Kluyveromyces lactis: one gene and its partner. The protein of the gene in region 2 binds, or shares a complex with, the protein of the main gene of each other region. Links are inferred from orthologs where the notes say so. Each region holds a gene or a part of one and is shown on either strand. Other genes may lie near its edges.

Region 1 (7,781 bases), on a different chromosome or scaffold from region 2:
AGAATCAGATCTCCGGAAAGATGAGAGGTCAAACTCTGCTAAATCATTAAAATAGGTATCATCAAACTGACCACCAAACACATAAAGTTTGGTTTTCATTTGGTTCGCAGCAATTATACTGATTTTGTGACCGTATCTACCAAGTGGTCTAGGTCCTTGAGGTGTTGGTATGGTCCATTTGTGAGAGTTGATATTGAACAAATATATGTCATCGTCCATCAAACCGGCATCATTCACTTTATGAGTGTCACCACCAAAAATCACGAATGCGTTCCCACACAGTGTGGAGGCATGACCGACTCTAGGAGGTGGAGTAGCATCTGCAATGGGAACTGTAATAGACTTGAAACTTGTAGCGTTGTCCAGTGACTTGATTATCCATGTATCTCCATAAACCGATTGGTCGTGCAAACCTCCGATTACAAACAATTCTCCACTGTCAGTAGCATATGAGCTGGCAACATGCCTATATCTGGGGAAAGGGGACTGCTTTAGTCTAATTCTATTCCATGGCGTGAACACCTGCTGCTGTAGGGTACTCTGAGTGGACGTAGATCGTTGCTCAACAGGACTGACCATAACGCGTTGTTGAGCCGCAAGTAACCCAGAATCTGCAGCTGGTTTTGGATAGTTCTGTTTGGTAGGTGTAGAACTAGATCCAGGAGATCTCAATTCTTGTTGAAAGCTAGTGTTACCAATAGTGCTGTTAGAATTAGGTGTTGTATTTGGAGATGCAGAAGCATCTTTCCGATTCTTCTGTTTCTTTCCAAATTTGAATGGAGCCATTCTTGTGTTTGTAACCGTCTAAATACGCAATACCAGTTCCTTAGCAAGTGATAAATCAGATATGTGATATGCAAAGTATTTGATTCCACTAACTGGTGTAATAAAGCCACTGCTGGGAACCTCAAGCTGTTACGCACTGCAAAAAGTTGCAGCCGTCTGAACTATTTCTGGTAACTTCAAGTTTACACTGTTTCATTTTCATAACAACACGAAATTCTGTGAAAGACTGAAATTATCATTTCAATCAGTAACTTTGGGGCTTGATTTTAGTGTACAAGTTAAGGATAAGGGTAAAAAGGCTGATCTGACCGTAGTAAGAAGCTAGGCTTGAATCAAATTAGATCTTTATGTGTACGGTTTGGGTATAAACAATGGATAGAGACGTATTGGAGAAATTTATAGACCTTCAAGACAAAGAGAACGATATTGATACTAAGAGTAAAATATATCATGAAGTTACGGACAGAGGGAGCGTTACCCCTACATTTAACCAAGGATCCAGCGGTATGAGTCCCAAGTCTGTGGGGAGTTCCGGTAGAAACAAGAACATCCAGTTGCAATTAACGCCTACCAAGGCTGATCCTACTAGCACACTTGACTCGCATCCGTTGAAAGGTGATAATTCAGATCAAGACGATATCACTGGCAATATGAAGGAGAACGAGGACGATGTATCATTGGGGTCCGGTAAAGTCACCGTAAAGAACAATGGTAACGGGGTTTCTGCTGCTACAAATGGCAAGGGAGGCAATCAGGAGCTAGGAATACGAAGAAGCAACACATGGAAAAGAAAGTCTTTAATAATGCCATTAATGTCTCCAGAGCACACAGTTAAGCAGCAGCAACGTCAATCATATCAGCAGCATTGCAAACCATCAGAGTCTGTATCGAATACCCCGCTGGGACGGAAATATCGATCAAAACTTGACCGAAATGACGGACAAAAATCTGTGCGGTCCAGCATAAGTAGCATTGGATCACTTCTCCCGGATGGAGCCACCACAGAATTTAGCGCAAGTCCAGCTACTAAATTGAAGTTGCCTACAACTACGACCGACACCGCCAAAGTAGTGCCATCTGTTTCTGAAGATGATAATGATATGGAATCTTTGTTGCAATCACTGGCGAACAAGGAACTAGAGATATTGGAAAGGACAAGGCGAGTTCACGATCTTTTCAGGCAAATTAAGATTGAAGATAAGATAATAAAACAGAATGCAGAAGAACTTCAGCAGTTGAAGAAAAAAGTTAGCCGTTTAGTGGGGAATCAAGTTCAAGGTCAGAACTCTAATACGACATTACCTGCAGAATCCCATGGGGAAAGTAACAACGCAGAAACCGCTGATAACAAATCAAGCTCGTTATGGACAAAATCCGTTTCATTACTCAACCAATTTGACCAAATTATTCAGGGGACCGTTGAAACGAAGTTAGGATTAGGCGACTCGGGATCCAGTGCAACTGAAAATCAATCAGAGGGCAAGCCAAAAGGTGACGACAATGCGGGAAGTGCGATTTGGTCCTTAGTAAATGAGTTTAAAAACGGGCTTGGGTTACTAGCAACAGAGGAAGAAGATGCTGATGGGTCTATAGGCACGATAGCGACTGGTCTTGCTACCAATATGGAAGATTACGGCACAAGAAAGGCAGAATCATCAACTCAAGCAAAAGAGATTGAAATGTATCATTATAGTCATTAAATAAGATTATTTTTGGAACTAAGCTTTAGCTAAGTTAATCTAATATTGGGAAGTAAGTAGAATATGGTGATCCTGCCAGGTGATTTTCCACGTGAGTGTAGAGTAACTCTAACTCAATATGTATCGACAAAATAACAGTAGATCTGACAACAGAGAAATACCCCTCCACTCATACTTAGTAATACCATTTTATTTTTTTTTTTTCAAACGGAGTTATGGTACACTTTTGCAGCGGCTTCCGATGAACTCATATTAGATAAGTCACCAATGGAGTCCAAGGGGTCGCCTAAAACACTATCCTGCACTGGGAAATACTCTTCGCCAAAAGTTTCACCGGTAGAAGGAGAATATAATTCCGTATATTTATCCTCATCTGGGTTCTTTTTCAGAGTTATTACACCATCGCTGATATTTCTCATGAGTCCAAGGAACTTGGAGTTCGAAAATTTCGAACTAGTTGTAGATGATTTATCTGAAAGAGTTGTGTAAATGGATTGGGCTGCTTCTTTTAATTGGCGTTGATCTTCGTCTAGAGGAGACGTTTCTTTGAGATGGAAATCGTCATCCTTGTCCTGTTGCTGTTCTTTTTCATCGTCTTGCACTTGTCTTTCCAGTTCAGCAAATTGTTCATCGAGCTTCGCGCTACTACTGGCATACGCTTGTGACTCGAGTTGGTTCACCATCAGAGATTGCTGATGACGCGGGAACATTTGTGAATGGGACACCATCACCGGTGCACCCATGGAGTACGAGGCGCCACGCGCCTCGTACTGCGAATACATCTGTTTATAATCTGTTGGGAACTCGGTCTTGTCGTGCACCTGCATGTTTGCGAACTGATCGATCCAAACATGGTGATCAGAGGCTGTAGCAGTATTACTAGTAGTACTGGCTGCAGTAGTAGCGTTAGCAACAACAGCTGCCATAGGCAGCTGTTGATGCTGTGGATGAGCGAAACTGGGACCCGAGGCACCAGTAAACTGAGAGAACTGGTGGTCTAGTGCATTATTTCTTGGTCTGCTCTGCTGCTGTGCGATGCTCTGTTGGTGCTGATTCGGCTGTCCGAACCTATAACCAGACTTCGAAACAAGAGTGTTCAAAGGATTCGTTTGACACACTGACATGGTATTATATTTCTTGGTTGGTGGTAGTCTCCTCGAGCAACAGACATAAGACAACTAGTCCGCAAATCATCGAAACAAGCAATGTACAAACTTTATTTATATACATATATATATATATATATAATAAATGCAGAACCTGGACGAAAGAAAGAAATTATGAATAAAGAAATGAAACAAGTTCAGACCACTAACGGTTGAAAGATGTGGAATGGAAGTGAATAAAAAAAAAAAAAGTGAAAGAGCGACAGATGCGCAAACCCCCCGGGTAACAGTGAGGCTTTCTATGGACTTCTGAAGACCAGTACTGGCACTTCTAGCCGATTGAGGAAGCTATTAGATGAGGGAACCCAAAAACAGTACGTAAGCAAGTGGAGAGGCGGTAGTTCGGTCGAAATGGAATAATCATTTGACATTTTGATAATCTAAAAGACGATTAGTTGCATAATGAATGCCGGTCGGGACGGAACGGAATTTTTAAACCCCGGGGGAAAAGGAAAAGGAAGGAAGAAAAAAAAAAAAGAATGCTTTCGGACATTCAACTCTGAGATTACATAATACCATCCACGTGACTACGTCACGTGGATGGTATTATGTAATCAGTGTATTTTCTTTCCTTACCCGGCCGCCACCCGTCACTCAGCCGTTTCAGCTCTTCCCTTGCCTGAAACGGCGGAAATAAACTCCGTCGTCGTGCGACACCCGCAAAATCGGGCAAAGCACAGTGTGGACAATGAAAAAAGGGGTGCAGCAAGAGGTGGGTTTTTTTTCCGCGTTACCCGGAGATCATTCCCAGGTGTTTCTTAACTCAATATGCCAGTAGTTAAAGGAAGAAAAAGAAATAGAATCTGTCATTGCCAAAGGGCAAAGCCAATTTGAACAGGCAATTTAGTAGTGAACAGGGCAGCGAAAGCTGCCCTGTTCACTCGTATGGCTTAAGTTCCTTTATTCGAGCCAAGGCATCAAATTTAGGTATCACATGGCTGGGTACTGTACCGGTTAAATTAATTAAGTCAGTCATCGTGTATTTCTTTTCGATTGGTGCCAGATGAGTCGCCCATTTATTGGTCATTTGTCAATTTTCCGTTGCATCATTAGAGAAAGAGAATATATTGTAATGATGAAAAATTGATGTATAAACGGAGAATATATCTTGATACCCTTCCTGGGTTCAGTATCCAATTTTAGATAATTATATAACAGTAGCTGAATATTCAGATTAGTTTATAGTTATCCGGTATCATTCAGCAAGGCAAGAACCGTTTTTCCTCCGGCTAAGTCGTTGCTTCTTCACCCAGATTTCAGGTCCAGTTTATTGCGCTTTTGTTTCCTTTACATAGAGTGAAAGCCTAAATTGTGAAAAATTTGAAAAATTCAAACTCTTCAATCAGTATAGATACAGAGAAAGAGAGAGAAGAGACCGAGTTTTGACAGCATTTGGTTCATCAACAATCCCAGAATTTGTCTTAATACACCACCGAATCCTTTTAATCAGGTAAGAAGTTGTTAGTTTTGAAACACTCTGCTATTTTTTTTCTTGGTTTGATTGAGTTTTGGTCTGATAGAAAAAGAGAAAGAGAGTGATCATTTTAGCATGTCTGACCCAGGTATTCAGGAGATTGATTATGAGGCTTTGCCAGATACTGCACCACTATCATATCAATTGATTGCAGGAGCGTTTGCAGGTATCATGGAACATTCGATCATGTTTCCTATCGATGCTTTGAAGACTAGAATGCAAGCAGTATCGGAAATTAAGGCTGCGGCGTCGGCGTCGGCATCTGGTGGTGCCGGTGCTGCCAGTGGTGGTGCCGGTGCGGGTACCCTTTTACAACAGATATCGAGAATCTCTTCTACAGAGGGGTCCCTTGCGTTGTGGAGAGGTGTGCAGTCTATGGTGATGGGTGCAGGCCCTGCTCATGCAGTATATTTTGCAACTTATGAATTTTGTAAAGAACAGTTGATCGACGCTAAGGATTTCAATACCCATCAGCCGTTGAAAACTGCCGTCAGTGGTGTTGCTGCCACTGTGGCCGCAGATGCATTAATGAACCCCTTCGATACAATCAAACAGAGGTTGCAATTGCAATCCAAGAGTAGTGACTCTTCCATGTGGAGAATGGCTTTCAACATTTATAAGAACGAAGGTCCAATGGCTTTCTTTTACAGTTATCCAACCACTTTGGCTATGAATATCCCATTCGCAGCTTTGAACTTCGTGATTTACGAATCCAGTACTAAGTTCTTCAACCCAACTAATGCATACAACCCTTGGATCCATTGCTTGTGTGGTGGTATCGCCGGTGCCACTTGTGCAGCTGTTACCACGCCTTTAGATTGCATCAAGACAGTGTTACAGATTAGAGGGAGCGATACCGTCCATGTGGAATCGTTCAAAACCGCAAATACTTTCAAGAAAGCTGCTCAAGCCATATGGCAATCTTACGGTTGGAAAGGTTTCTGGAGAGGTTTACAACCAAGAGTTATTTCTAATATCCCTGCAACTGCTATCTCCTGGACCTCTTACGAATTTGCTAAACATTTATTGTTCACAAAGCAAGAACCCTCATTATAAATATCGTTTGAATGATCTAATGACCCCCCCCCCCCCCTTACAAACACGCACAAAGTATAACGCTTACCCCTCCCCAATTCCACAATGTTGTGCTCTTAGTATTCGTTTTACTTGACATGCTTATATTTAGAGTCACCAATCTTTTACCTTCTTCTTCCCCTGTTATTCCTTTTTATCTGGCAGCATGGTCTTTTATTCCACAATTTCTAACTGCTATATATCCCCTGTAGATATTGTATGTATATTTAAGCGTTTCATATATCCATATAGATTTTGTCATTTCTCCCACAATTAAACGCTATTGCTGCTGTTTTCTCTTTGTTCTAAAATCATGACTGCCCTCTCTTCCTGTCACTAGTAAGTACAATACAAAAGTCCCACCCTTAAAAAACATTTACTTCGACCTCATTTGTTTCCTCAAATCATCAATTCTAGCATCATATCGATGTGATGTTGCGTCCCAGACCACTGGATAATTGCTGTCCTCTGGAATATACCTTGGCAAATTCAAACCTTCAGTGATATCAGTCCATGCCGATTCTAAATCGTTCCCGTTATCAGTTTCGGTGCTGCCATATCCACTAGATCCGACCCAGTAAGATGACATACCCTGATTTGTGTACCTTAATCCCCTAGTCAATCTGTTGGTTCTTGAGTGCGTGTCTCTGTCCGCGAGCATTGATTCCACCGAGTCAAAGCTCCTGTAATCTCTGTAATCACCATTTATTACACTCTTGAAATCCCACCATAGATCTTTAAAACCAAGCCAGTCCTTCAAAGCATAGAGGATCTTCAACCTTCCAGAGTTTGGGTACTTGTCCGGACCGTATTCGTCACTTGAAAACGCATACCAATGTGCAATAGCAAATCCAATCATTTCAACACAAAGTACACTATTACCGATCTCAAATGCCACATATTTGTCGTCACCATGTATATCAATGACATCTATAATCGTTAAAACGTTGATAATGAGACTTTGCCAGTACGATGCGAAAATAATCAACTTGACACACATAAATTTCGGCCATGGTTTGAATACTGAAAGCTCTGTGTACAAACATTTCCAGAACATCGCGAGACAGTAAAGAGACCATGTCACACTGATATTGTAGCATATTACTAACCAGACGGTATTCCATTGGAACGCTTCAAACGTTGCCATACCGATACAGTACACTGGCTTGAACCAAACGTATTGTAAAACACCACGCTTCAACGTCTCGAAATCGTGAGGATCACTAAGATCGATTCTTTGTAGGTAACGCCCAAAGAATGGGATAGCATGCCTGCTCGGTGGATACATTGGCGCGATGTTGATGATGATATTCCGTTCACCACCTAGTCGTAAAGTCAAATACGTAAAGAACTGATAGATGACCAATGCCTCATAAATTTCTCTAATCGGATCAATATAAATGGCGCCTATCTCTGGTCGTAAAATCGAAGCAAAACATGAGATGGAAAATATAGGTACCATCATCTGGATCCTTAATATCAACCTTTGCTGCGAAGGAATTCTATAATTCCACAACTGCCCGCATTGTGAAATAATGGATATACTTGTGGCAACTATTGTACAAATACCACACAAATATA
Region 2 (8,167 bases):
TTTGAAATGTGATGAGGGTCAACCGAAATGTGGGAAATGCGTCAAGAGAAATATTTCATGCACGTACCAGTTAAGTCTTGTATTTCAAGACGTATCACAGTCGAAACTGAAAAGCATGCCTGTCATTCATTCAATTATGGATTCTAATGATGGTATGATTAAGGAGATACCATCCCAGCCGATAGGTAGTCAACCACGCAAGAAATCTTCGACTTCTTCGACTTCTTCTTCACAATCACTTACACATACACTGCAAATTCAACCACATCCACAACCGCATCCACAAGTACGTCCACAAGTCCATCAACAAGTTCATCAACAGGCACATCAACAGGCACATCAACAGGCACATCAACAGGCACATTCACAGGCACATCCGCTGGCACAACCGCAAGGACAACCGCAGGGACAACCACAAATACCTACACAACTGCCATTGCTGCTGCCGCAGCTGTCACAGCAACAACAGCCACAACATCAACAACAACAACAACAACAACAACAACAACAACAACAACAGCCACCACAACGACAGCAGGAACATTTACAATTGCTGTCTAATATACCGCAGCAGCAGCAACAACAACAACAACTTTCAACCCAGCAAGCAGATTCATTACACTGGAATGTGAAACCTGATTTTGCTCAACTGCTGGATTTGAACGACTTTAACTTACAAAATCTCATTTGTGTCTCCCCATCAGACGCCAAATTACTGAGCTTACCAAACCTTAATGCCAAACCTAATACCTCAGCCACAGAATTAAAGAACTGGGTACCTCTTTTAAAACCATACGATATAAATTGGAGAAACTTTGTCTGGATAGATATGTTACAACTTTTAGAGAAAGAGGATCCATTCCAAACTGCATACAAAAGTGTAAATCCAATTGCGATCAGCGAAATCAGAATCGATGATCCCAACCTAACTAACTTCATTTGGAGATTTGCTTGTACGACTTTGATCGCGGGTAATTTCTTGTTATTTCCTCATGATAGATTCGATACCTTCATGCGGTGTCTCTGGTCTTTGAATGAGAAACATACAATTGTCCAAGATGCTATACGATATGACATCTCAGTTTTTATGCAGGACGTGTATGAAAATGCAAAGTTGCATCATTTCTCCCAAATATGGGATCGTTATGTAAGAGCCTTAAGTTTCAAACAAGTGTTGGGAACCATCAATGAAAGAATCCAAAATTCTCAAGACTTTGTGGAGTATGTTTGCTTAACATTCACCGTGTTCCTCATGTTTTTTGCTAATAGTGCCTTGAGAAGTAATCTCTGGAGAACTCATCTTAGAGGATGTCAACAGCTTTTGATCAGAGCATCAATATTGATGCCAAAGGGTCAATTGACCGATCTAGAGCAGAATGCTGCTGATATTTACAGTGTTTTAAGGGATTGGTTCTGTCATGCGGAAACAGCCGCTTCAATCGCATCGAATTTTGGAATTTCTTTAATTGATATCACTGAATTCACAAAGACTGCTTTCCTTACTGAAAGCTCTCCGTTGTCGTTAACAGGCAATTCTTTCAATCTCTTGAAAGGTATGTCCAATAACCTCAACTCTGTGTATTTCCACCTCTTGTTGCGAATGTTCGAATTTAAAGACAAAGGCGTCGATATTTCCGGATTAAACATTTTCCTTTTCAAAGTCAACGGAACGACAAAATCAGTTTTACCTCAATTATCTATGTTCGGTAGAGAATTGCTGGATGAATTACAGCGTTCAGCAGTTTTAGATTCGAATCTAGAATTGAATCTCATCGACGTGACTGACCTAAGGTTGAAATTTTCAATGCTTGCATCGCATAGCATGTTTTACTTTCTAATGGAAGTCTATCTCAAGGTGTACTTTCTTGATGTTGATCCAAAATCTCCTGAGATCAAAAGTATTCTATACACAATGGTGAAAACTTCTTATAGCAACCCTTATTACTCATCTTGTGGGGTGTGCTGCCATCCATCGTTGTTCGTAGGAGCACTCACATGTATTATAGCTGAAGATGATGTGCTTTATGTCCATTTCATCGACCTTTTGAGTAAAATCACCGACAGCGGAATGGCAGTTGCTAAAAATAGTGTAGACAAGCTAAACGCCATCAAAGCTAATGTTGCAATTGGTGCTTATCAGAATATCATCAATCCTGATCATGACTTTATCCCCATCTAAGTTAATATTCCCTTTCAATGTCCAAAAAAATAACGAAGTCAATCACTTTAAATGAATCCTCTAAACTGGAACAAATATCATGCCAAAGTTGTACTATTTCAATTATAATATAGAAGAATATAGATTTTCAATCAGTTACTTATTTATCTTGATGTGTGAGAATATATATATATATCTCCCATCCAAAATTCATTCAATTAAGAAACAGCTTTTTTAGCGCACAGATTCAAGTTTTTTACGGAATTTTTCTGTTATTGTTTTGAGTTTAAGGTTCAGTTTAGGGAAAAAATGCTCTTCAAGTCGTTATTAATTCGGAATTAAAATACAAAAATGGCGTATCCTGCATATTTAAACAAAACATAGAACGGTCGATGCAGCGCTCAAAAATGTAACAAAGGAGAAAACAGCAGAGAGTATGTCGTGCCACAAATTTTTTACGGAATGCTAACTAGAGATTAAATGGTGATAGTATTCCTAGATTTACTTATGTTGACCGTCAAAAACCTCAATTAACTAAAGGAAAGCTCGTTTTTTGCTTTAAATAGGAAATGTTTTCCACGGAAGTCTAAAAAAGTTGTAGTATTCTTTAATAAATTTCAAAAAGATGAGGAAGATCATGATCTTCGAGATTTTGTTTGTTGCCTTCTCGATACCATCAAAGAACAGTATTAGAGGTGAACACCTGAAAGCTCAGAAGCCACGTAATAGTCAAAACATCATAATTCAGAAACTAAGGAGGTTGAATATCAAGTTTGATAGATTGAATTCACTTTCAAATCTCCAGAAATTGACCGCCAATGACTATATGTTTCTTTATTCGATGCCTTCAGGAATGAGTCGGTATTCATTGAGGCAGTGTCGCAACTCTGGTCACGTTTTTTCTACAACAATCAGGTACCAATTTTGTGAAAAAAAACTGAAACTTTATGCATTTAGGCAGTAGACATGGTAAGTTAATGAAATATGAGATGAGATCAGTTTATAGAGAATGAGGGAGCTATGAAAAAGAACTTAAGCTATATAACCATTGGTATCTCAACCGTTTCAGCGTACTCTGCTCGGTAGATATTATTTTGAGAGATTCTAAATATCAGGCCAAGCAATCGGGTTACCATCATGTCTGCGAAAGCTGCAGGAAAAGTTGAGAATGGCGTAATTAAACATACGAAAGAGAGTGAAGCTGACAAGAGAAAAAATGCTGGACATAGTTATAGGAGGAAGAGAGGGAGACGGTCAAAGGCAGAAAAATCAGTACCTGCAGAGAAGGCAACCAGTCTTGAAATTACCGCCAAATCATCCCATAATGAAAATGCAGAGAAAAAATTCAAATTGAGAAATGCCTTGAAGTTGCAAAGAAAAGCCGAAATTGACCAATTGTGCCATTTGGCTGGGTCAGATATTGTAATGTTAAGGAAAGGACAATATGTCACGACCTACTCGCTAACGTTTATTACCACTGATCAAGATCAGAATCAAAAGAAAGTGAAATGTGTTTTCAACATTCCGGTCGATTATCCTCAATCCGCCATAAAGCTAAGTAAACCGAAAGACTGTTCTTCAGATGACCCGTTATCACGAATTGTAAACAATTTCAATTATAAATCAAAAGCTTTACTCAAAGATAAACAGCCGCTAGTTATACAATTAAACTATTTGGTTACCAACTGGAATTCTTTGCAGTCTCCGGAGTATATAAATAGGGACACGGTACAGAAGAATCTGATGTCAAAACTCTCTGATTGAAAAAAAAACACAGTAGCGAATAATATGAGTTACTCATCATATTCATCGAAATGGTCATTACAGAAGAGGGAAACTACATTATACACACGTTAATATTCACTCACTCCTTGACGAAGACTGCAGCAGCTCCCATACCAGTACCGATACACATGCTAACAACACCAATTTGACCAGCGTCTAATTCCCTTAATATGGTAGCGACTTGTCTGGCACCAGTGCAGCCCAAAGGATGACCTAAGGCAATCGCGCCTCCCCTTGGGTTCAATTTCTTCTTGTCGATTTTTAGATGGTTGACACAGAAAATGGCCTGCCCTGCAAAGGCCTCATTAATCTCGTAAACATCAACATCGTTGACATTTAAACCACAGTCTTTGAGGACTCTTGGAATCGCATATGCTGGGCCAACACCCATGATCTCAGGTGGAACACCTACTGCCTGGAACGCAACGTACTTACCAACGATTTCCAAACCCAATTTCATGGCCATGGATCTTCTCATTAGCAACACACCAGCAACACCATCTGATATCTGAGAAGCGTTACCGGCAGTTGTCACACCTGTTTCCTTCACAAATGCAGGTTTAATCTTTTGTAACGATTCGAAAGTGACGCCCTTTCTAGGACCTTCGTCCTGCGCAATTATAGATCCGTCTGGTAGTTCAATAGGGATGATTTCATCTTTAAACAATCCCTGTGAGACAGCCCTTTCCGCTTTATAGAATGACTCCAGGGCAAATTTGTCCTGGTCTTCTCTTGAAATTTGGAACTTCTTAGCAACGTTTTCATTAGTAAATCCCATTGGTATCATACACTTAGCAGCAGCCGTGTTCGATTTCAACTCATTTGATATAGACCCAAGAGCCTTCGGACCATAGTTCTTAGACATAGATTCCACCCCGATAGCCAACCCTACATTGATCTGCCCAGAAATGATCTTATTTGCAACGTCGTTAACGGCAGTTAACCCTGAGGAACACTGTCTGTTAATAGCCACTAACGGAGTTTGATATGGCAAACCAGCAGCTAACATCGCAGCTCTATGTTCTGTCGCACCTGCACCGGGATTCAACACATTACCACACGCAATTTCTTCAATGACACTCTTATCAATGTCAACTTTCTCAAAAAATTCCTTCAGAAACTGTGTAAGTAAATAATCCGTGTTAACATCTTTGAATCCTCCTTTGAACCCTTTACCAATAGCTGAACGATACGCAGCTACAACAACCACATCGTCCGGATTCTTACTCTTTATATCCTTTTCAGAACTGCGTCCTGTCAAATGTTTCTCTAATTGTTGAAGTCTGCTAGCCATATTATATTTCTGATTGACTGTACTCGCCTGTAGTATACTTATATCTTGCCCTATGATGTTCACTTGTCAATCAATTCATCTGATAAAAGTCAGTGATAAAGGAATAATGTCAGCATGACACATTTATGTACGTAATTTATACAAAAAATTATTTGTCAAAGGGATCACTCGCTAAAATAAATATGGGGAATAACGAACAATGAGCAGAACCAACCAGCCGTCGTTTTGGAGTATGTTAAAGAGGATTTAATGATCGCATACATCCCTTCTTCACGGCCATTAAGCTCGCAGTTAATCATCAACACTGAAAAGCAGAAACTTTACGGAGCTCCACGATGTCATTAACAATGATCCTGACTTAATCTAACTACAGTCTCAAATTTGCCTTTGCTCAAGGCTATGTCGTAGAATTGGAGATCGGCATTGTCACACTAATTCCGGTTTTCGTTATGAAATACCCTAAAAATGAAAGACCAACGTCGCATGCGGGGTAACCCCCAAGTTGAAAAAACTTACCCCGGGTAGCAAAGAAGATCCAACTCACGTGACTAGTATCTATAGATTGTTTCACGTGTCGCGTACTGTTTCCTTCTGGTCTCTTCTTCCTTTCCAAAGTGCGTTTCTGAGCTTTTGATCCTGTTTTTGTTTACGTTTTTTAATTTTTGATCCATCTATTAAGGAACGTAACAAAATGAAGCACTAAAAGCGTATGAAATTTAGTACACATGTTTTGTAACACAAAGGAAATCCATAAATACGTACACTTGAAGAGAGTCTAAAACTGTTCTACAATCAGCTTTGCTAATCATTAGAATTAATCGTTTTCTTTGACAAATTGTTTTTTGTACAAGCGTTTATCTAGTGAAATTATTTCGCTATCTCCCAGATCATTATTGAATGATCGCGTTTTCCTTGTATTGATGAGTATCAAATCACTTTTCTGGCTATAATTCTGCAACTGAAAATCAACAAACTTTGACCGACCAATGACTGTTGATAAGAATGAAAAATCCATTAGTATTTTGTTTCCGCTTCGATCTGGATCCATTAATGCTCCGACTGCAAATGCCAAGACCAGGTTTTCTAGCAATGATTCCAACGATGATCTGGTAATACAAGGGCTGAATCTAGTAGGAACAGGGCTCAAACCTCGCTCCCAGACCCTGCGATACATGAAATCACACAACTTTTCAACTCCGAACGTTGATTCTACGCGACATGTTTCTAAAACGGATAAAATGTGTTTAGCAGACACTCAGCTACCGTCAGAACAAGAAATTGATGCCAAGTTTGAAGAGTTATTGAATGGACATGCGTTTCTAGGTACTGCTAAGCAAAATTTGAAAAGCTTGTCGTATACCCGTAAATGGGAATTGATTCAGAAGGAAAAGAAACTACATGGTGATATAACGATGCAAGACGATTCAAAATTGAATACTTTACATATGATTTTGAGCAATTTGAATAAGAGATTCTCGGTTACTCAAACACTTTATCAATTGGAACGTTTACTTCGACATGCTGATTTTATTTCGCTGTTTGTGAATGCAAACGGAGTTTCGATTTTGAATGGGTTCATTGATTTATTGGATAAAAAATCCCAGTACGTGTACTTATGCTGTTATAAAGCATTGCTTAACGATACTTCAGCAAGATCTGTGATATTCCAGAATAATGATTGGATAACTTACGTCTTCTGCCTTTTAGGAACGCTCACAACTGACCTTAGAGTTCGTCTTTTATCTACCCAAATTGTGATCCTTCTGACATATTCCACTGAATGGTCAGATTCTTTGTTGGAATCGTTAGATTTGTGCTACGAAAGTTGGATCCAGGCAGTAGAAATGACTCTTCGAAACCCGGAGGATTATGCGTTTAACAACTCTTTAATTCTTCCAAAACCAAAAGAATTGCTCGTAGATTACTCTATATCTACATTGTTACTGGTTCAATCCATTCAACAACTTCTGCCTTCCAATGATCTAAAACTGGCGTGTTTCAAAAGATGGAAGAGAGCTGGAATACACCGGGTTTTCCGGCTAATGAAGGATTTAGACTCATCAGCTTTGAATCAGGACATAGACCTGTATATCGAACTTGAATTGAAGGTGCAAGACAAACAGTTCAAAAATGAGTTTCTGAGTGAAATATCTTATGGTCCTCAAATCAAGAGTTTAATCGAATATACTAAAGATACGCCGTTAGAAACGCCTATTTGCAATATTATAGAAACGATCTTGGAGCTAGTAAATGAAAGAACAACGGAAGGTTCAATAAAACTGTTCTATGTTTTCAATTCTATTCTAACCTATCTATGCGAACATACCTTGGATGGTAGCTTTGATGAAACCAACACGGAACAAGTTTTCATGACCTCACTAGATCATATAATGGATAACTTACAATCCCATCAAATTGCCAAAAGAGCAATGATGGAACTGGATGAAAAGAAGAAAGAATTTGATGGAATACAACTTCAATTGGATACATTGCTACAAGACAAACAGGTTTCCAAAGGGGATCTACTGCAGAAATTAGAAAATAAAGAAGAACTTTTGAAATCAAGGGAAATAAGAATAGAAGAATTGCAAGACAGATTGGAAGTTGTAGAAAATCAGCTAAAGAAAGAAAAGAAACAGTTGGATCTCACTATCGCCCATAGAGATGTAGCAGAATATACACCAAAACGTTCTGTGTCACTGTTTGAGACTTTAAAAGAACATAAACCGCTTATTGGTACTCAACGATCAACTTCCTTATCAAAAAGTAAACGTATAGCATCGCTATCCACTGTTGCAAATGAAAAACCTCAGTCAAAATATCCGCACTCTACCCCTTATAACATCTTGAATAACAATTCTGACGATGACCTTCCAGTGACTCCGATATATCCACGCAAGAACGACATATTCCATCAGGTATCAGCACTC

Evidence for each region.
Region 1: the proteins of POT1 (region 2) and PEX21 are in contact, whole or in part, in a crystal structure (PDB 3W15), measured with the Saccharomyces cerevisiae proteins. The link is inferred for Kluyveromyces lactis from reciprocal best matches to the Saccharomyces cerevisiae genes POT1 and PEX21. Residues at the interface, in NP_012106.1 of Saccharomyces cerevisiae: Met1, Ser2, Leu5, Gln6, Ile8, Lys9, Leu12, Val13; in NP_011755.3 of Saccharomyces cerevisiae: Leu199, Ile202, Ala203, Asp205, Ile206, Cys209, Cys210, Thr211, Leu231, Phe236, Met240, Ile243, Leu250, Leu262.

Annotation. Positions count from the first base shown.
Region 1 is NC_006041.1:1,381,631-1,389,411, reverse strand, and holds PEX21 (Pex21p), read right to left. Parts: upstream 3,611-7,781; coding exon 2,690-3,610; downstream 1-2,689. Other genes in the region: KLLA0_E15511g (uncharacterized protein), read right to left, coding at 1-786; TDA11 (Tda11p), read left to right, coding at 1,158-2,486; KLLA0_E15445g (uncharacterized protein), read left to right, coding at 5,202-6,182; HFL1 (Hfl1p), read right to left, coding at 6,577-7,781. UniProt on the Saccharomyces cerevisiae protein: Receptor that mediates peroxisomal import of proteins containing a C-terminal PTS2-type peroxisomal targeting signal via its interaction with PEX7.
Region 2 is NC_006042.1:997,604-1,005,770, forward strand, and holds POT1 (acetyl-CoA C-acyltransferase), read right to left. Parts: upstream 5,238-8,167; coding exon 4,023-5,237; downstream 1-4,022. Other genes in the region: KLLA0_F10835g (Zn(II)2Cys6 transcription factor domain-containing protein), read left to right, coding at 1-2,179; SMU2 (Smu2p), read left to right, coding at 3,296-3,922; formin BNR1, read left to right, coding at 6,224-8,167. UniProt on the Saccharomyces cerevisiae protein: Responsible for the thiolytic cleavage of straight chain 3-keto fatty acyl-CoAs (3-oxoacyl-CoAs).